Linked DNA regions of Arabidopsis thaliana. The protein of the gene in region 3 interacts with the protein of the main gene of each other region in a pairwise test. Each region holds a gene or a part of one and is shown on either strand. Other genes may lie near its edges.

Evidence for each region.
Region 1: the proteins of KCS9 (region 3) and PAS2 interact in a two-hybrid assay, tested with the Arabidopsis thaliana proteins (one study listed by BioGRID).
Region 2: the proteins of KCS9 (region 3) and CER10 interact in a two-hybrid assay, tested with the Arabidopsis thaliana proteins (one study listed by BioGRID).

The regions. Positions count from the first base shown.
Region 1 is NC_003076.8:3,296,433-3,303,910, forward strand, and holds PAS2 (Protein-tyrosine phosphatase-like, PTPLA), read right to left. Parts: upstream 3,720-7,478; 5' UTR 3,617-3,719; coding exon 3,546-3,616; intron 3,449-3,545; coding exon 3,337-3,448; intron 3,162-3,336; coding exon 3,143-3,161; intron 3,029-3,142; coding exon 2,940-3,028; intron 2,840-2,939; coding exon 2,786-2,839; intron 2,651-2,785; coding exon 2,624-2,650; intron 2,460-2,623; coding exon 2,389-2,459; intron 2,294-2,388; coding exon 2,212-2,293; intron 1,873-2,211; coding exon 1,776-1,872; intron 1,686-1,775; coding exon 1,615-1,685; 3' UTR 1,374-1,614; downstream 1-1,373. Other genes in the region: KAC1 (kinesin like protein for actin based chloroplast movement 1), read right to left, coding at 1-24, 303-426, 607-816; MSL2 (MSCS-like 2), read right to left, coding at 3,944-4,672, 4,764-4,820, 4,920-5,033, 5,136-5,303, 5,432-5,542, 5,674-5,823, 5,996-6,056, 6,188-6,301 and 4 more. UniProt on the Arabidopsis thaliana protein: Catalyzes the third of the four reactions of the long-chain fatty acids elongation cycle. This endoplasmic reticulum-bound enzymatic process, allows the addition of two carbons to the chain of long- and very long-chain fatty acids/VLCFAs per cycle.
Region 2 is NC_003074.8:20,519,579-20,527,100, reverse strand, and holds CER10 (3-oxo-5-alpha-steroid 4-dehydrogenase family protein), read left to right. Parts: upstream 1-4,002; 5' UTR 4,003-4,244; coding exon 4,245-4,313; intron 4,314-4,497; coding exon 4,498-4,537; intron 4,538-4,999; coding exon 5,000-5,754; intron 5,755-5,846; coding exon 5,847-5,915; 3' UTR 5,916-6,171; downstream 6,172-7,522. Other genes in the region: AT3G55350 (PIF / Ping-Pong family of plant transposase), read right to left, coding at 6,411-7,441.
Region 3 is NC_003071.7:7,047,546-7,054,939, reverse strand, and holds KCS9 (3-ketoacyl-CoA synthase 9), read right to left. Parts: upstream 4,142-7,394; 5' UTR 3,755-4,141; coding exon 2,216-3,754; 3' UTR 1,989-2,215; downstream 1-1,988. Other genes in the region: AT2G16270 (uncharacterized protein), read left to right, coding at 6,627-6,780, 6,992-7,394. UniProt on the Arabidopsis thaliana protein: Involved in the elongation of C22 to C24 fatty acids, which are precursors for the biosynthesis of cuticular waxes, aliphatic suberins, and membrane lipids, including sphingolipids and phospholipids.

The DNA.
Region 1 (7,478 bases), on a different chromosome or scaffold from region 3:
CCTCAGTCTCAAGGACAAACTGATCTGTGGTGGTTTACGTAGATAAATCAATACAACACACTACCAAATTTCCACCACAAAACAGATAAATAAACGCAACCACGAGAGCTAGATACAGTAGATGGATTTATGAAGTTTCCAATAAAGGTTTCAATTTTGGGAAAATGCCAACCAATTCTAGTGTTGTTAACTTCTCCAGTGGTCACAAATGCACCAAATGTAATGAATACTCAGTTTTTCTCGATGCTTGCACACAACTTACATAGACTTCAAATTTACGACTAGTGAAACACAAAACTTACCCAATTTACGACTTTTCTCAGCCAAAACACCTAAGTAACGTGTAACCCTGTCAAGCTTAGCATTAGAATACTCCTGAAGATCAGTAGCTTCTTGTCTCAACTCCAAGTAATCTTCTTTCGCAAGCTGTTCAACCAAGTCACAATTTTTTTTCTTGATAAGTAATGGCTTCAACACTAAAAACTTCCATCAAATCCCACAAGCTAGACTTAAGAAACTAAAAGCAGCCTTTTATAAAATTAATTCAGCTCAAAACCAAAAGCCAAGTATACTCTGTGAAGTGAAAAAGGAAGTGAAATTTATCACCTTAACTTTCTCCTTTAATCCGTTAACCTTAGATGCAATTGCTTGCTTAGGCGGAAGCGAGGGAGTCGAAATCGAGTTCCGGCGAAGCAGAGGACCAGTCGTACGGTGACCAGTACTCTCCGCAAACGATGCATTGGAAGAAGACTTCCTCGGTTCGAACCCACTCACCTCCCAGTTCCATCTATTGGTTTTACTTCTCTGATCGGCCATTTCATCCAAAAAAAAAATCAAATCAAAGCAGCAAGAATTGAAGCAGCAGCTTCGAAAGCCAAATGAAAGAATTCAAAAGTTTTCGAATTTTATTTTTGTAGAAATAATCAAAGATTTTTGTTTTTATTTTTGGTTCATCTCTGTGGATTTTTCCCTCGGTTTGGTATACAAAATAATGAAAGGCGGAGAAGGTCCTTTTGATTGATTCCAAACGACGACGTTTATATTTATTTCAATTTTTATATTTAAGAAAATAGACAACGCCGATGCCTTTTCAGACACAAATATTTTGTGATCTGCGTTACTTCACGACGCCTTATCGTGTTCCATGATAAATCTCTCACTAACGAACTACGTTGACTTTTATATATCACAAAAAAACAAGTTTTGATAGTTATTTTGGGCAAAGTAAATTTGACTCGTGATCATCTCAAAAGCATTTAAATATTTAAACCATGATAAGACGATATGACCCAATAATTTCACAATTTTCTTGATTTTTTTTCAATTTCATAAATATTATTAAGAATCCATTTCGACTTTTTGGGAAATTTTAGCTTAAATCAACTTTTTCATTTCTACTGAGAAGGAACCAATGATTTTCTTATTAATTTAGAAACCACATTACACTTAATAGTATCCTGCTGCATGTAAGTTCAAGTAATCGCCGAGGAAGTAAAAGCTCAAACAAGCTAAACAAAAGACAAGTTGTAGTAGTAGACTAGTAGTACATGAACGAACAAGACAAGAGGAGAAAACAGTTGATGAGCTTTTTCGTCTCTTTCTAAATCTTTTCTTTTATTCCCTCTTGGATTTGGAGAGAGCTCTCTTTCGCTGACCAAGCATGTACCTGTACATGTGTGGGCTACCTGCAACAGCCAAATACAAATTTAGTCTCGCAGATCAGAATTGAACAGATGTATGGGATATGTTATAAGAAAGGTTGACTGAGTTTGTGCCTGGGACATAGATTGCAAGGACGAGTATCGTTGCATAGAAGAAGTCAAATGAGAAGTTCAATATGTTAGGCATCCTAACGCTGTACATCTCCGATGTCTGCAGACAAAAGAAAAAGAAAAAAAAAGAGCAAAGGGACCATTCAGGAATCAACCATATATATACTCTCCCCTGATACCAGTGGAACAGAAAATCTGAAACTTTATAGATGGCATTAAAGTTAAGTCTATATATGGATTATTTTACAGTGACGTCTTGAAAGTCAACAAACAGATCCTGTCTACTAGAGTCTGAGGGAAATGGCTTTAACAGTTCATGTCTACTCTAAGAGCTCTAAATTCTAATACACAAAAGGGTGTAACAACCCGTAAAGAAATGATATTGTAAAGGAAAGAATTGTTCTCTGTTTAAGGAATTGACATGAGCCAGTTGTGTTACCTTGATGTGTGGTAAGGCAAGGTAGATAAGACCAACTTCGCTGGTGATACCGGTAGGGTATAGCAATAAAAAGCTGCTGTATCTGAACAGATTAACGAGAGAGAAATAAATGAGATTAGAGTTGCAAATTAATCTGTTTTTCAATGTCTATTATTATATTGCACATGAATGGCATACCTGAGCCACAAGTGCCATGAAGGTGCAAAGCCTAGAGCTTCCTTAAAGCCGAAGAATGAGTAGCGAATAATCTGCGCTCAGAGCGAGTTATTCATCAAACATATGAACTGAAGCACGTTATCCTAAAAGGACGCTACTAGGATAAGACTTCAACCAAAATGGAGTAATTAAGGAGTCATACTTAAGTCAAATCTTGACTGTTCGAAATATTAACAGCTAATCTCTTGTTCTGTACTTCAACAATCCATGTTGTGATAGGAAACTTTCAAAGCATCAGTAAGAGAAGCAATGTTTTAGACATTTCAGATTTATGGCATACAACGAATCTAATAAATGTCTCCTAGTAAGAGCGATATCAATGGCTACCAAAATCAACACAGAGACTAGATATAATCACCTCTGTGATAGACCAGCTTATGACCAGCGACGTAACAAGAAAATGAGATCGGACCTGAAATTAAATGAAACAAAGTTCAACAATCAAATGATGAAACTTGCAACAATCAAAGAGAAATAATGAACTAGTAATGCTGGTAACTTTCTAAGTTAACCTCTGGAAAACTGTATAGGATGCCCCAAGTGAGAAATAGCCTTGAACCTATCTGTGGCAGAGTTGCAGAAACAGGAGATCTGACCAAACCTATTCGAGTTTAGCAACACAGCAGAACACAACTCAGTCAATGATCTTAAAAAGAGTTTAATCAAAATGGTGTAGTGCAAGTTCGAAATTAGTCTAATGGATCAGATCACTCACCTACTAATCCATGAAGAATCTGCTCCACACCCGGAAAATTCCAAAATCCAGATTTTAATCAGAGGAAAGAAAAAAAAAACAAATACTCAGTTGCAACAAGTGTGAACCAAATCATTCTTCTTCTTCTCTAATTACCCGGGAAATGCAACAAAACAAGAAGAAATAAAACACGAATTGTGTCACGAGAGACGGACCTCGAGAACGGCGGCAGTCTGAGCAAGCTGGAGAGGCTTCTCAATGGCGTCATAGACATTCTCATAACCCGTTTCCTTCAACGTCGTTATCGCTAAGTACAAAACCTGAGCCCTAATACCCCAAATGTCACCAAAATTCAAAAATCAATCCGAGAGAAAAATAAAAACTCCACTAGACAAAAGAAGAAAGAGAGTCGAGCTCGACTTGCCATCCAGCAAAGACGATCCAATTGTAGAGAGTGAGGTACACGCGCCGGACAACGGAGAGAAAGCCCGCCATGGAAAGTGAATACGCGAGAACGACTAATTCTTTGAACACCCAGAAGAAGAAAGAGTAGATTTTATGGCGGAGAGATCGGAGGAGAGGAGCATTTATGAATTACATCATGACTAGAGACAGGTAAGCTACTTCTCAACCGTCTTCTTCTGATATTTATGATTTAAACCCATACTTTCACCCAACTATCAATAAACCACCCCTATATTTAATATACGACATTATCAACCCCCAACTTCCAGAATTTTGGGAGGGTAAATTCAATTAATTTCAATCGTATATTACATCAAAGAGTGTTATAAAAAAATAGCTAACTCATTGAATTTCATCTCACGGCTCGGTTGAAGCACCTGAGTTTGGTTGTGATTGGCTATCTTTCTGTTCCTTATCAGCCACCAATGGTCCATTTCCACCGGATCTGCGAGCTCCCGTGAGTTCTTTAGCATCTGTTTCCATGGGAGGAGAATGTATCTCTTCTTCGATTGGAAGTGTTCTCTTTGAGCCTTCTAGTGCAACACCCAGTACTATATTCTCTTCTAAAGTTGATCTAGACGCTGATGATGTTGAACTATCTGTTTCATCTGTCTTTGTTGATTTTATTGTGCCACCACTTCTCTTGGCCTTTGGTTTCTCAGTTCCTGATGTTTCTGTATCCTTTGGGGTGGGCGGTTTTGAGACCGCTTTGATTACTGGCTTTGCTACTGTTTCTTCAGGTACTTTGTTGGTATCAGAAACAGGGGATTCTCCAACTTTCACATTCGCCTTTAGATCAGGAGAAGACGTTTCTTTTGACTTTGGATTCGAGCCCTTGTTTTCTTGCTCTGCGGTTGGTTTTGCTGCACGGTTTTGAGATTTTGATTTGTCTTCTCCATTGATTTTGTAAGCGGGTTCAATTAGCATCAAAGGCCGCCGAGAAGTAACACCTCCGTACATCGATTCCCCAAATGGTGTGTTTTCCACGTCAGTCTCTGTGTACATCTTACGGATTGTACGGATTGGTGTAGCTAGACGAGCTCGGTGGTGGCTTATGACTCTAAGAAGGTCCAACAATATAGCTTCCTGTTTCACCAATACAAGAAAACGAAAGCAAATAAGTCAATAGTTCTTGTGAACTTTAAGTAGATGATAAGATAAAAGACTGAAAAATTACCTTTACACCCAAATATTCTTCGTGATGAGACGTCTTCACAAAGCAAGAGATCAGTATCTGTAAAAACGAGAACCAGATGTAAGAACCAGACCTTCCAAAGCTGCCTGAAATATCTGAAGATGGGTGCAAAAGAAGAGATAGGTATTGAAGTCTAACCGAGAGGGCCTGATTTTCTGGAATGACATTCTCCAAGAATACCCTTCTATGTAACCTCTGCTGCTCAACCATAGGATTCTTGGCCAACACTTTCCGCATGTCAGCTACAATATTCTGTTTGAGGAAGTTCCAAACAAGGATCAGCTAAAAAAACTCCATGATTGGACCTTAACTTGTATAAAGAGTTAACGACCATATGGGAATTAGAAAACTCACATTTATTTTGTTGACATCCAAGTGACTGATTGCTAGGTGAGTTTTAATACGCCAATGAGTTTTCTGAGTAAGGTTTCTCACGACATTAACTGTGAACTTATGGTTTGGGATGTGAATTGCCTCGCGGTCTTCACCTCTTATGATTGTTGGTGACCACCAACCAACATGCTGTAAATGCATTGCAACAAGCAATTCAGAAAGATAGCTAGCTAATTTTAAGGAAACGTTCAGGTATGGCAATGACGTGCACCGAAGCTAGGAAAAAATTCACATCATCTAAGCTCAGAGATTCTAACCTCCACAGTACCAGACACTTCATAACCTTCTATCTTTGTTTGAATCCACTCATTCAAAACAAATGGCCGGGTTGCATGAATCATAACACTTGAAAGAAAGTTTGTCAAAATCTGGAACCAAAAAACAAAAAAAAACTCAGTTTTTATGAAATATCTTTAGCATAAAACAGGAAAAGGAACGTCTAAAGCTAACAGTGGATATTCCGAAGAAACCAGTAATTAAAATGAGAATTAGGTTTCACCTCTCGGCCAGCAAGAGTAATCAAAACTGTCCCAAGACCTCCAGCAGTGAGCCATTTTTGTGTAGAGAAACCCAGCAACTCCATGAAAAGTGATACAGCAGCAACCCATACAGCAGAATACAATGCTTTCCCAGCAAATTGAAATCCCATCTGTACCATTCCAGGGGCAAATTAGCAAAACAAATTGAGAAGCCAATTATATTGTTGATAGAGATTTCTGATCTTGCGTAGACAGATATGCAAAATAGACCAAACATCCTAAGAATAATAACTCTACAAAATGTATTATTAAAGCACTTTTTATGAGTGTCACTTTACATACATTTCTTGTATCGCTCGGATTACTCGTTTCTGAGAATAGCTTTTGTGTTTGTTGGATAAGACTGCATGGGAACATCAAAGAATCAGAAGTCATGAGATGGCCACATAGCAATTTCACGTGATAGAAGCCACTAAAATACAGAAACATAAGATGAAGACGAAGTCTTGTATTTAAATTAGACAATACTCTTACCTGGATAAGCAGTAAGCAAATGCAAGTACCGTTGACAATGACCTCACAAAATTCAACAGTCGATCCTTCACAATTTTGCTAGCTTCTGTAGGAAGGACAACAGGATCTAATGCCCTATATAAGGAATAGTCACCAGCAATCAATTATCTCAACCAAGCACTTCAGATGAGGATACCACCAAAATATCTCAACAATTAAATCTCAGAAAGTCCCGAGGAACTACTTGATAGATATACCTGCAGATGAATAGAGCTCCTAACCATAGTAACAGAGGTTGAACATATGAAGTCATAACATGGTACGTACCACTCTTCTTCCAACCGTTATCATTCTTCTACAATGATTCAAAGGTAAAGATTCAGAATCTCATATAGAAAAGATACCACATTGATTTGAACTGAGACAACACAGAAATGAAAGCAGTAAACAAAAAAAAAGTGCATATAAACTTGAAATGGCTGCACCTACATTGAGTAGTATGTTTCTTCCTTGGCGAGCAAAAGGCACTAGACCCCACAGGGAGAAAACAAGAAGAGCAACAGCTGGAACCAATTTATATACAAAAGGGAATTGTTGCATCAACCCGTGTGACCTGCAAAAAACGGAATGCAAATAATTACAGAGTGCAATAAAAAAAGAAGAGAAATTACGAGAAACATAAATGCACCCCCTCAGATTTCCCCACCAAAAAAATTACAACTTCCCTAAGGGGAGCCATGGTAATGACAAGGCCTGCATACATCAATGTTTGGCTCAAGTCCACAATGTTTATGAGTAGAGTTAATTCATTCATTTTGAGTTAGATGCCCAAATATTACTATGCAATCATTCAGATCCATGAAGATCAACTAAATAAAAATAATGATAGTTTCCAATTTTACAAGGTGGTCATTCTGCATGTGATGATAGGAAACAAGGAGTCTTACTTTGTTAGCACCACGGTGACAGCTTTAACAGCAGGTTCAATTGCCTTGCCGCTTGCAGAAAAGGAATGACACCTAAAAGCGGTGGTTCTGCATGGAACTGAACAAATAGGCCTACGAAGGTAATTTGAGAGTAATATGTTGCTGAAACCATGTTGTCCCAACTATAAGCAGAAAAGTAATGTTACTAACTATCAGCAACCGAATTTGAAAGGCTAGAGTAAATTTTGTTTGAAATATTACCGGAACACCTAATGAGAGAGGACCATTTGATATATGCAGCCTCCTTCTCATGGCACTCTGAAAAATTGTACATTTTTCGAAAGATGAAGGGAAGAAATGATTAAAAGAAAAGGATGTCAGGGCTA
Region 2 (7,522 bases), on a different chromosome or scaffold from region 3:
GAGAGAGAGAGAGAGAAGGGAGGAGCTGAATGGGATAAAGAGAAGAAATGAAGTTTCCTTTGTTTAATTTATTGTGTTTCTTAATTCTCTTTACTCTCTCTTTTTTTTCTTTTCTATAACAATGCTCTTTTTTCTCTTTCAATTTTCATCATTCTCTTAGGCTCTTTATTTCTTTTTGTTTTCATAAATAAAAGCCTTCTTACTTATTACTAACCTTTTTGGAATTAAGTGTCGATTTGAACAGGTATTTTGTTTGCTTATTTTTGCAAGTCAATCATATACGTCATCGTTCTTGGTTGTATCACTGTATACATATTTATCACGTACGAATTTGTTTCATATATTATACTGATATTCATTTCACGCTGCTTAGAAAATAGTAAAACTATTTTATTTTTTTCCAATTTGTTTCAATCTTTTGTCGATTCGATAAGGTTGTAACCACTGAAAATGCTATGATGATTCACATATCATATTTCAGAGATAAAAGAACATATATCAAATTTCAGAAAAACACCAACATCTCTAATATACGCATAAATTACATAAGCAAGTAATAATTTGGAGCATGTAATAGATAGTTTTTTTTTTTTTTTTCAAAAATTTAGTAGATAGATGTCCGTATAACATAGATCAAATTACTTCACTACAACATTTGGTTGAAGATGGAAATAATTATGCATATGTGTTTATTGTGTATGTTACTTGTCAATCAAAAGACGAGTGAAATCTAAGTTGGTAGATAATTCACTCCTTGTCCGATCCGATCCCACTTCCTATATTGTATTTTTCATCAGCAACGATAAATTTTGGACTAAAATAAGTTTAAATAAATTTCTTTTATGAGAGAAACGACAAGGAAAGAGAGTTTTCTTAGCATGTAAGTTTTTTTTTTTTTTTTTTTTTTTTTTGCATACGTTAACAATGGTGCCCAAAAAAAGATGTGAAGAGCGAGAGTGGCCATGCAGAGAGAGAAACCCTAGGCACCTCCTTTCAATTTTTAATTAAAAGGTTAAAAAACAACGAGAGAAGCGAATAATTGAATTAATTAAAAAAATTAAAAAGATTTTGAGTGAATAAAGAAACAAATAAAGGTGAATTGGTAGTGGGGTGGTCTTTGGTGGAGTTGTCACAATCGAGTGTACCTTTGTTTTCCTCGGTATGACCCAAGTAAAGTTTCGTTTTGCATAGTATTATAGTTATAATTATCGCCATTGTGGCTTTTGTCATGAAAAAATAAATTACCTTTGCATGGCGAGATTTTTTATCCCGAAAGTTCAGTCTAAGAATGATGTAAAATTCCTCTGTTAAGAAAAAAATGCCTTTAACAAAATAAAGAATTCGATGTTGAAGAAGAAGAATATATATATTTTGGTGCTAATTTGCAGCACAAGATATAAAAATTAGAAAGTATAAGCCAAAAAATCAAATCATGATTCGACAAGGTTGTTTTTAATTCTTTCGTGATTCTTGATGTTATACCCCTAATATAACTTACCGATAACATTGAATTAGTGAAAAATATTTCGAATTATGATCACCAGTCTCTATATTATATTTGATGATTTTATGGTTACGAATGTGAGGGGTACGTAAGATTAGTAAAGACGGACATGTTGTAGGAAGGTGTCCCAGTCCGCGATTTCTAAAAGAAAGATTTGTGGTCCAAACGTAAAATTTAATCAGACCTTCTTTTTAATGGACCTCACTATGTCGACACACAACATCAAACATATCCCTAACTATATAGTTCATAATCAAGATGTTTTTTACCAGAAAAATATAACATCAAACATGTCTCTCTCTAATCATTATATTTATAAGTTTTTCGTATCAGACTAAGAAAGTATATATCAACCTGAGACAAAATGATCCGGTAAGAAGAACTTCAATTTAGATGACAAAACTTCCAATTAATTTGAATTACTTAGAAAGGGATGAAGTTGAGACACAAAGAAAGAATATAATAGATATATTGCCTTAGCTTGTAATTCACAGTTTAGTTGTTTCAAAGAGCAATATCATTGGAATTTCGTAGTAACCAATATATATTGTGGTTATATATTTGTGGGGAGTGTGTATATGTATTTGATATGTTGATATTTTTCTTCAAAAGACAGATGATAGAGCTAAAACGATTTTTTGTCGATATGTTGCGCTTCGAAGTAGCTGAACCTGAGTGATAATGTCTTCATCTATTGGACAAGTAGGGAAGAAGCTAGCTCGCCGTATGCAAATACATAAAGTTCCATGTTTCACTTCTTCTAGGGGTGAATAGACGAGGACACACGATACAGTTTGTCATGTTAATCTTTCAAGCTCAAAAAATATAAAAATTGTATGAAAATCTGATACGGTAAATCTATATATTCTTTTGCATGTTTTTAAAGGAGCACTTATCTTTATTTGTTATAGAAATTTATTATTTAAAAGAAATTCGTCTTTATAGAAATGTGCATGTGTTTTTTTTATTAGTAACACATTTTCATGCAACAGGAATCTTCGCTTATCTGTAGTGTACATCTCATGAGCCCATATTCATAGTTGTAAAGCAACACCTTCTCTGCAGCTTTTTCTTTCCTATTGTTTTTTGTATCCATAGTTCACATCTACACACTATATAAGGCTATTACAAACAATGATACAATATATGTTCTCATATAATTTGATCTTAATTTTCAAGATATTTAAGGTGGGAAAATATCGAGATAGTATACAATGGAAATCGTTACCACGTGCATGCCAATCTTTAGTAGAAGAAGATTCCTAGATTCCAACAAGAACATGCGCATTTTTTCACGAAAGGCTGGAAAGTTTAATATATAATGGTCGAAAAAATAGGCATAATCTATTTAAGTACTAGCTTAAGTGTTTTACGCTAGATCTGGTGTTGACACTTGTACACCTGGTTTTAAAGTTGCAGAGAAAACTAGATTAATGCTCAAATTGTAGTAAGTAGATTGGATAATTTACACTCGGAAAAAACAAGTTTTTTCAGAAGAATTAGACTGTTGCTCACTTGAGAAAAATCTAGCTAGCTTTGTTAATTGAGGATAGTTAGTTATAGTATTTGAATGACATTAAGGTGTTTGAATATCGCATGAATTGTCGCCTTGGTATTTGGGCAATTACCGGTCATTATTTTGATCTTTGTGATGTCAACTAATCGATCCCAACCATATATATCATAAACTACTGTCTCTTAATTGATCCATTGTGTTTTTAATTTTATCATTACTTTTTTTAACTAGTTGAGAGAATGATTATCTAACCCCTTTCATATTCAGAAAACTTAGGTTTTGAGTTTTTGCTTTATTTGCTGCTCTCTTGAATTAATAGAGCTCTCGTATGCGATTGACTTTGGGTGATTTTTTTTTGTTGGAAAAGCAAATTTCATTGACCAATATAACTAAACTAACACACTACTTCCATGTGGTTAAGGGCCGGGATCATTTATTATTTGCATCTTTTATACGACAATGACAAGGATTCGTTCTCATTACTCCATCCCATTTTGTGGTATGTAAAATCCTAACTTTTTTACTGCATTGATACAACATTTTATTTTAGCATTAGATCAATACGATGGACATATGTCATCAAGTGAGGGGGTAGAAGTTTGCAACTAATGTTTTTGTGCTCATGAATCAATCTCTTCTAGGTAACATTATTTCACTCTTTTCTATAGCGAATACTGCAATGCTTTTACGTTTTAACTAAACATGACTAAACCAAATACCAAAAAAAAAACGAGTAACACTTTGGTGGTTCCTATCTAAGTTGACCGGATCACTCGATTTGATAAAAAAAATTATAGTAAAAGTTTTTGTTTTTGAATACAAATTATATATTTGACTAAAATTCGAAACTTAACCGAAACTAAAACCTTAGCAGATAATCTATAGTATAGTAGATTCATAAACCGAAAAAACAAAAATCTAAACCTAAACTGAGTAATTACTAATGGTGGATCCTTAAAACAAAGCCATAATTTGCAATTGCAACAAATGTTTTTGTTTGGAGTAAAAACCAAAAAAAAAATGATGGGGAGCAACTAAAAATGTAAAATGGTCCCAATCTAATCGCATAAGTTGGGAAGATAGTTAGTAGTTCTCCTACTCCCAACTACATCCTCTTCAATGCTCAATCTCGTCTTCTTCTTCCTCTCTATTTAATTTCCCTTGTCTCTCTATCTCTCTCAATTTCCTCATCTGGGTCTTCCTCGTTTGCTCCGCTTAAGCACCATGAAGGTCACCGTCGTCTCCCGCAGCGGCAGAGAAGTCCTCAAAGCTCCCCTTGACCTCCCCGATTCGGTACTTTCTCGTTTCTTATGATACTCTCTTCTCCGATCTGCTTCTTCTTCTGATTCGTGGGTTTGTTTCCAAAATGTGATTGAAGGTTTTTGTTCTTTAGTTTGGTCCCTCAATGTAGGGAAAGTTGCATGCTTTATGATTTTTGGGTTGTTGATTTCGATTTCGTGTGTTTTGTGCTTCGCAGGCGACTGTTGCTGATCTGCAAGAAGCGTTTCATAAGAGAGGTAAAGTTTCCAAAGTTTTCATTTTTACTTGAAATTTGACTTGTCGAATGTTGGTATAGATCTCACCTGAGTGTGTAAGCTTAAGCTAGTGTTTATGTGTTTGAGTTCTCCTTATACCATTTGATGCTTATGGGGTTATATAATCAAGATCTGTGTGGAAGCTTAAGGAGTATTTAGATTTGATAATGTTTTCTGCTGATAAGGATCACTTAAGCTTCTAAACACAGTTTTGGATTTGAATTAATCATCACAACCTTTTGTCATTTATGGATCAGTCCCTTTTTAGCTTTAATAAAGGTTCACTTTAGATTGTCCATCAATGGCAATTATCTGAAATCATCTTACTATACAGTACAATGTATATTCTGTATGTATTATATTTATCTCGTTCATTCAAATCTTAGTTTGATTTTCTCTCAGTAGGTATTAAACTGTTTGATTTGGGTTTTGTTGTTTCAACAGCTAAGAAGTTTTACCCGTCGAGGCAAAGACTGACTCTTCCCGTGACTCCTGGATCGAAGGACAAACCTGTTGTCCTCAATAGCAAGAAATCACTGAAGGAGTACTGTGATGGAAACAACAACTCCTTAACTGTAGTCTTCAAAGACCTGGGGGCACAAGTTTCCTACCGCACACTCTTCTTCTTCGAGTATCTTGGCCCTCTCCTTATCTACCCTGTCTTTTACTACTTCCCTGTTTACAAGTTTCTTGGTTATGGAGAGGACTGTGTGATCCATCCGGTCCAGACGTACGCTATGTACTACTGGTGCTTTCACTACTTCAAACGGATCTTAGAAACGTTTTTCGTACATCGGTTCAGCCACGCAACCTCCCCAATCGGGAATGTGTTCAGGAACTGTGCTTATTACTGGAGCTTTGGTGCTTACATTGCTTATTACGTCAACCATCCCTTGTACACTCCAGTTAGTGACCTTCAGATGAAGATTGGTTTCGGGTTTGGTTTGGTTTGCCAAGTCGCAAACTTTTACTGTCACATATTGCTGAAGAATCTGAGGGACCCCAGTGGGGCTGGAGGCTACCAGATTCCACGCGGTTTCCTCTTCAACATTGTTACATGTGCCAATTACACTACCGAGATTTACCAATGGCTAGGATTCAACATCGCTACTCAGACCATTGCAGGATATGTTTTCCTCGCTGTTGCTGCTCTAATCATGACTAATTGGGCTCTTGGAAAGCACAGCCGTCTGAGAAAGGTAAACATAGCGGTCTCACGATATGATTTTAGCGGAACTGAAAATTCTCAAATAATGTTCTTATTGTGGATTGTTTGATATTGGTATTGCAGATATTTGATGGAAAAGATGGAAAGCCAAAGTATCCAAGAAGATGGGTGATACTTCCTCCATTCCTTTAGAAGCCATTGTTGCTTATCAGTAAAAGCTCTTAATAAAGCTGAAAATGAGACTTTCTTTGGGTTCTCTGTATCGTTTCCTTTTTTGTTCGGTCTATGTATTGGTTATAACATGTTTATTCCTTTTGTTTCAATATGTTTTGATTTTTGAAGTTAGAGAGATTTAGAAATGTACTTGTGTAGTTGTTTCTCACGCAAACCAATTCCTCTTTATGTATCGCATACATGAGTCAATAATAAATATGATTACTAGTAACATAAATCAGTCTATGCGGCATTCTATAATGACAATTGCAATGAGTTTAGACGTCGATGAAACATACAAGTTGTATAAATTAAAAATAACATTCATAAGATACACATTTTTGTTTGTCCCATAAAAGAATATGTCAATAGATCAAATCAAACGATAAAATGTTATGCTAAACAAAATTACCAGAAGGAAAAAGAAGCAAATGAAGCTTTCATAGAAAGACCACAAGAACCGGGAGAGAGTAATCAAGCTGATGAATTTTTTCCACACAGTTGGTCAGAGAGTTCATCTCTCAAGACCGATGAAGCCTCATCGGCAAGCTTGCAGCTTCGTTGTCTGTAGTTCATGTCATGTTGCTGAGACAAAGGTTGGTCATCCAAAGTTTGATCCTCCATATCGATAATAATGTTGTGCAGCAAGCAACAGACAAAGATTATCCTTGGTAACCGGTTTCTATCAGGCATCCACATTACCCCGTTTATTATCCTCCACCTGTCTTTAAGCTTCGATAGTGCCATCTGCGCGGCTTTTGTTGCCTCGGAGTGTCTTTTGTTGAACTCGGTTTGAGGAAGCGACGTGGGTTTGCCTTGGTATGGAGTGAGAAGCCATGGAAGAAGAGGAAAACCTGAATCACCTACTATGTATTCTCTTAGCTCGGTTCTTTCTGAGAGCGGTAACTTTTCCCCGTTCAGTCTCTTCCCTTTCTCAACTAGTTTGTAGAATCCTGAGTTCTTGAGGACAACATCATCATTTAAACTCCCAGGCCAACCAGCTATTACATCGAGGAATCTCATGTCCGGGTCTACTACGGCCTGCAAAGTCATGCTGAAGTTCTTTTCTCCGTCCAACCAAACTTTGTTTGACGGTTCCACAGCAGGAAGGTTCATAACAATATGTGTAATGTCGATAGCGCCACAGCAGTTAGGAAGACCTGAGATTTTCTCAAACTTTGATTTTATTTCATCGAGTTTCGAAGGCCATGAGAGATGGTGTATTGCTCTCTCTTCCATTGATTCAACAAAGCGCCAAGTGATTTGGGAGACTGTTGACTGGTTCATCCCAAAGGTCTCTCCAATGACAGAGAGAGATTCACCAGAGCCAAGCCTCCTAAGCGCCACAGCTACACGGTCATTGAGAGATAAAGGGTTCCCATTTGAGTCGCTGAAATTTGCAGGCTTTGCTGTGAAATCGGCTTTCACAAGAGAGCAAATGTAGTCAAATGTCTTCCTTGATATTTTGAAAACTGACTCAAATGTCTTTGGATCCGTTGACCCTCCTGAAAAAGGAGATGAAAAGAAAAAACATGACATTCTCATAGTAACTACAAAATCAACAATGTATCCAAGATCAAGCTTAC
Region 3 (7,394 bases):
GTCTACTCCGTAATTTAAAATGCCAATACTTTTATTTAAAAGAGAGAACTGGTTTGAGGTGAGTTTGGTGTTTTCAATGATATTGTGTGGCACCCGCAAAAATAATGAAAGAAATGTAGCATATTATATAAGTTTTGCCACTATTCATGGCATAATAGTTAATAAAAACTCAATGTCAATACAATTATATATTTGTGTACCCTAAATATCAATGTACATTCCACTTCAATGTACTATGTTTTCACAGTGTGCACTCTCTACAATAAAATAAAACTGAAGGAAAGTAGTACTCTGATAGCTATATCACCATCACGAAAATTATATATTTGAGTCGATTGAAACTATATGTACCCTACAAACCAGAAAATATTGTTGGGAAAACAAGGAAAATTCTTAAGTTCACCCTTACGGTTGAACCCTTGTAGTCACTTCTTTTAGTTTAAACCAATCATTATGGGATCAATTATGAAAAACTCCTTTTTTTCTCTATGCCTTTGTTTCAAACAGACCTTCTCAATGTGTTAATAGGAATAGGCATTTTCATTCAGTTAAAAAGACATCATTGTCCTTAATCACCTAAACCAGTTCAATCTACTTCAATTCGTCGACCGTGATGTCTTCTCTTACCTTGCGTTTCTCGCCGGCGTTTACACGGCGGAGGGCTTACATGGCTCTGAAATCAATAAAGAGGAGACGGAGGAAAGCTTACACGGCTCTGGATTTGTGATTTCCTTAGATGAACAACACCATCTCTGCTAATTATTAATCCTATAATTTTATTTCTTCTCGTTGGAAACTCCGGCCAAGCGTTTCATGTATCTCCGATCCGATTCCGAAACTTAAATTAAAACTGCAGTTTGAAGCCCAAACCCAACATCCTTTGAAATGATTTCCCCTTTTAATCTCCCATGTTACAAACCGAAGACCATTACTTTTCCGAAACTTCAATGAAAAGTGATTTCCCCTTTAGTTTAGGATTTTGATGAATTTGAGATTAATTGTTCCGATTTGTGTCTATCACTTAGGGTTTCTTAGGCACTATCACTTAGGGTTTAGATTCCTTTAAACAAGACTCGTTTAATTTGATTCATTAGATTTTGGATTAGATTGGTGGAAGAAAAGTTTGTGAATTGTTGGAGGCAAGGAAAAAAATATTGATGAATATGAAACTATTGATGTTGATGGAGTGTGGATTCAGTGTTGATAAAGCAAGTGCGTGAAAAAGCAAGAACTCTGTCACGCTACGGAGAAGACGATGAAGTGGTTTTTGGTTTGTCAACAACAAAATTGAGGGCAAAAACGTCATCTCAATAGCCATAAAGTTCCCATCCTTATAAACCCATAATGGATGTGCCTTCTCACTAGTTATTGGGCTTAAATGTACCCATTTGAACAAAAGCCCCAATCATTATGTCATAATGTTTGGAGTGAGATCCTTATTTCTTACTGAACTATATTTTTAGGAAAAAAAATGAAAACTTTAAATTTTAAATAATTTTTGTAAATATAACTGTTTTTATACATTATCACATTTTCACAATTATGTAAATATACATATATTAGTAATATATATATTACCAGCCAATCCGTGGAAAAATCCCCACTAAACCCCGCAGTCCGCCATGGCTTTGCGAGGCCTGCTTCTTAACAAGCCTAAAATTTTATGTCCATACCCGCACCATTGCGGACCGGGATGGGCTTGTCCCCTGGACTTAAACCCGTTATGACTAAATAGTAGAGAACCTTACGTAGTAATGTTGATGATATGAACCAAGATACTTTGTGTTTGGATCGTATCAAAATCGCCAACTTGGAGATAAAGACACCCAAAACACACATTTGGATCTCAAGATTGCCAGCAAATAATCGCCTGTCAGGTTACTTTTGTAAGATTCCCTTTGCTTGGATACAAATCAAGTCCTAATGATATGTCATTTGAGATCGAGATCAATCTACAGTTGTCAAAGAGCTTTTACCCTTGCTTTTTTATTTATTCTCAAAATATTACTTTGTTTCATTGTCAATTTTGATTTGAGATGATTATAATAACGAACCAATCTTTAATATGGATAAAGATGCCATAGAATAAAACGCGAGAGTAATAATCAAGAAGCGTCACATTAAGAGTACAAGAGCTTAACCAGAAAAGAAGAAAAATAAACAAGGCAGAGTCTAGTAAGACTAGGACTAACCAAACAAATGGTTTTTCATTAAATCAGAAGTCGAGCTTAACCGGATATCGGTCGATGCAGTGTTCCCACGGACTACTAACCGAAGGCTTGACATTGTTTAGAGCCACCCAAACTGCACTGTTACACTTAAACCCACTTCCAAAAGCAATCTGCCAAACCCGGTTTCCTTTCTTCATCCTACCTTTAGCCTCTATGTAAGCCAGTTCATACCAAATCGAGCTCGAAGAAGTGTTTCCAAATCTGTGCAGTGTCATTCTGGATGCCTCGACATGAGTCTGCGAAAGCTGCAGATTCTTCTCAAGCTCATCAATCACAGCTCTACCACCAGCATGGATACAGAAATGATCAAACGCAAGCTTGAAATCCGGAATATACGGCTTCAGCTTCGAGTTAAACAGTTTCTTCGTAACCAAAGTCATGAAAAACAGAATCTGCTCACTTATAGGAAGAACCAAAGGACCTAAAGTAGTGATATTCGCCTTAAGAGCTTCCCCAGCTATAGCCATAAGATCTTTCGACAACGAAACCCCGGTCTTCCCATTATCATCTTGCTCTTGGTAAACACAGTTGAAAGCCTTCTCAACAGCTCCTTTATGAGTCCTAACGGTATGAACAAGCTTATACTTAGACCGTCTACGATCTTTCCCCTTGTTCGACAACAAAATCGCCGAACCACCAACACGAAACAAACAATTCGGAATCAACATAGCCTTCTTATTCCCAAAATACCAATTCTGAGTAATGTTCTCAGTACTAACCACAACAGCATAAGTATTCCTATGAACTTGCAACATATCTTTAGCTAAATCGATAGAGATAACACCAGCACTACACCCCATTCCACCAAGGTTAAAACTCTTAACATTCCCTCTAAGCTTATACTTGTTAACAATCATAGCTGACAACGAAGGTGTAGGATTAAACAAGCTACAATTCACAACCAACACACCAATATCCCTAGGGTTAATCTTGGTATTCTCGAAAAGCTTATCAAGAGCACCAAACATTACCTGCTCAGATTCCTCACGAGCCGCCATCATCGTAGGCCTCGGAGGGATACAATGTAAAGCTTCAGGGAGATAAGTCTCTTCTCCTAAACCAGAACGTTCAAGAATCTTCCTCTGAAACTCTAAAGATGACTCATTGAAATCTTCAATCAACTTAGAATGATCCATAAACTTCTGATACTTAACCTGAAGACTCTCCGGAGGAAGATAACAAGAGTAATCAACGAGATAAACAGATCTGGGACGACTCATGATGTAAACGGTGGAGCCAAAGATAGCTAAAGCAGAGAGAAAGATGAAAGCAACGAGATTGTATTGGAGATGAAGCCAAATCTGGTAAAGATCGTCTGTTGTTAATCGAGAGATCTCTGTGACTAAAACCGCCATTAATGGAACCAAACAGAGCTTGAAGAGATGAGTAATGAGGTAATGATAACCTAGCTTGACGTATTTCATGTTGACGCTTTGTAAGAAATTAGGAAGCTTTCGTCTTTCGTTGTTCTCTGTTCGGATCTGTACGGATCCGCCATTAACAGGCTCATTAGCAGCTTCCATGGCTTCCGAGAAAAATGGAATAAAATTGAAAACTTTATGAGAATTTGTGCATATAAAAGGGAATGGGTAAGTGGGTTTGATAGGAATAGAATCAGTGAAGTGACGCCATTGAAGAACACGTAATGAAGAAAACAGTTGATCTGTCGAAAACTTGTGTTTTTATGATTTAGAGAGAAGAAGAAGAAAAAACCAAAAGTGTTTTTGTTTTGTTATTATTTGGAATATTATTATTTTGTTTATTTGATCTTTTTAATTGTGTGATTGTGTATAAATAGCAGCCAAAAAGGTATACAGTTTTAATTTAGGGTAAAATAAAAATGTGTGATTTTGGGGAGGTTACAATTTAAGGAGATAAAGCTGGCATTTGGTTAGGAGGTCAAGTCGAATCAAGTAGGAAATGTTAATAAATTTGCCAACGAAATCTTATGTGGTATCAAAAGGATTTAGCATATGTCTGCATTTACTTTAATGTGAGTGTTGTTGGTGTGGAATAGTCTTCTAAAGACTGCGGTTCTATAATGGCCCAATCATATTTATTTTGTTCATTTGAATGTGTGGTGTGCTATTAAACTACATTTTTGTTTGAAGGAAAGTAGAAGTTTTTTATATTATTTTTGAATGTGAAATTGATTGATCAAGCAAATATGTATATAGAGTATAGGTAACAACTGAAAAAAGTAATGAAAATCAAAGCAGAGCTTTATGGATAGCTCTGCCATTACAAAGCAACAGAAAGAATCGGATAATGCAAGTAGAAATTATTTTTAGATATGAGTCATATATGCGTCTGAAGTATGAACACATAAAAGATAAATCTCAATAAATCAACCAAATATATATTATTTAAATAATCTCCTATTATTTCTTTATATAATCAGAATATATAAATCCGTCTCCATGGCTTGTTTTGTATGAAAACAGGTGATACTTCAAAAAAGGTTAAATGCAACTTGAATAAGAACTGAAACTCCAATAAAATTTAACCAATAATTTAATAACGCTAAAATGCCATTTTATCAAAGTTGGAATCTCCTAAATCATAATCGAAACAATGTATATGTCGACGATCACTTAAGTTTCACCTGCACCATACATTGTTCCTCACTTCCATTACAAAAGAAAACATGAGTAACGAGTGTTAACACGATAACCAACCAATTAACACTTTCAAATTGACCAATACAATTAGATAACATATTTCATACAGTTAACATCATATGATGCGCACAAAACCAGTCATGTATCTCCATATTCATGCTCTCATGTACCCATATGTGACTTTATTCGCGATTATCCATACCTCAAGCATTATGATCGACATGCTCTGTAAATATGTGATTTTGGATGTTACAATTAAAGGAGAGAAGGCTGGCATTTGGTTAGGGGGTCAAGTCGAAGTAGGAAGCAAGTAGGGAAATGTTAATAAATGGTATTAAAAAGACTTGACACACTGAATTTATGTGATTTCTGGTGGAATAGTCTTCTAAGGATTGTATAGTGTAGGATTAAAAATAATCTTTTCGAAAATGTAGCTCATTTATTTCACAATTTGTTTTTGATTGTTTTTAGATTTTTTTTCGAAAAAAAAAGATTGTTTTTAGATATAGAATATAAATATCCAGAATATTGAATGTATATTTAAAATTTTACAAGATTTAGAAAATAAAAAAGTTAAAAATATTGAAAATGATTTTGTTTTTATTTTGTAAAATATAATATTTGAGTTATAATCAATGCGAAGTAAAGTGAAACTACTAATTCGACAACAAAGTAAATTATATTTTTCTAAAAGCGATCTCAAAATATTTATAGATAAAGATAAAGTAAATATTTCAATTTTTGGACTTCAGTCGCATCTTATCGGTGAGGTCTTTGACGATGCATGGTCTATTCCATATATTATGATGCATCACTACTATGACTTGAAAGGCAGATGACACCAATCAAGTTATATATCGACATCTTTAATTTGGAAGTACAAGTATCAATTTCGAACATGGCTGAAAAAACTTAGTCCTTATTAGAAGAAATTTTTTTTATGAAGAACATTTTCAAGTTTTCGGCATAAGTACAAACAATTTGTAATGTGTCTTGTACCGGCAAAATTTGAGGTTACATATTCTTCTTTACCATCATCATGTCTTTCAACAAAGACAAATTTTTCACTCGTGAGATTGTCTATAGTTTAGTAGTTAACACATAGCCTTTGTCTAATCTACGATGGGGTAGAGACGAACCTGATAGTTGTGTTTTCGATTTACCATCTTTTCGCATGTAGCATTGTATCTTATAACCATTGCTTCTGAACTATCATAAAACTATCGTTAATTATCATATTTCTCCATTTATCGCTTTTAACCTTGTTATTTCAAACACTGGTTATTCTCCCAAAACCTTATACTATATTTGAGTGGTGAACCAAATGATAAAAAAATAACAAACTTTTGCATTATTAAAAAAAAAAAAGAGCTAAAAATGATTACGTATAAAATAATTAATAACCCCTTTTTTTTACTTGGTCCACCTCCAGGCTCAAATCCTTTTTAATTCAATTTAATTATCAAATGAATTACGTATATCTCTAATAAAAGCTTTAGTAGTATTCATGAATCAGATTAGATCCTACAATTTTTGAAACAACCTTTTAATATTTCATCCCAACGGTCGAAAATATACAGTAGCCGTCATTTAAATCCTCAGATCTATCTTTCCAAAATTTACAAGTAGCCGTTACAATTTCTATCTCAAACTCTCTCCATCTTCAGGGCTTTTTCTTGATCTTCAAATTTCTTGTTTCATTGTTTCCTTTAACTAACAAAAAGATCTCAGATTTGTTACCAAATCAAACAATTCCGAACACTTTTAATCACTCATGGCTTCTCCTACCAACAAAAATCCCTCCTTTTCTCCTCCAATCCCTAACAGACCAAACCCTAAACCTAGAAACTCAGAAGCCGGTGATCCGTTACGCCGGAGTTTTGGTGGCAACCCTTTTCCGGCGAATTCAAAAGTCAACATCCCCTCAGGTTAGAGTCTTTCTCAATCCCTCAAAGTTTTGATTTTTAGATTAGGGTTTTGCTCAGTTCCTCAAAGTTTTGATTTTTAGATTAGGGTTTAACTTAGTCTTCGCGGAATAGTACATTCTCTTGGCTAATCATTGATTATTGTAGATTAAGTTCAGATTCTTTGATATGATTTTTGATTATTTGAGGTGTTGTGATGTTTGTGTTTCTTTAGATTTGACTAGGAGGAACTCTTTTGGTGGAGATAAAGAGAACGAGACCAAACCTGTTCAACTAACTCCAAAAGGTTCCAAGAACTTCATGTCACCAACAATTTCAGCAGTTTCTAAAATCAATGCGTCACCAAGGAAGAGAGTGTTGTCTGATAAAAACGAAATGTCTCGCTCCTTCTCTGATGTTAAAGGTCTAATCTTGGAGGATGATAACAAAAGAAATCATCACCGAGCTAAGTCATGTGTTTCGTTTTCGGATGTCTTGCATACTATTTGTATCGATGATGAGAAGAAGTTTGTGGAATCACATGACATGACTGTGACTGATTTTGATGAGAAGGAAGTTTATGAGAACAAAGGGATTACGTATTCTGATCCGAGGTTTAGGATTAGTCCTCGTCCTTC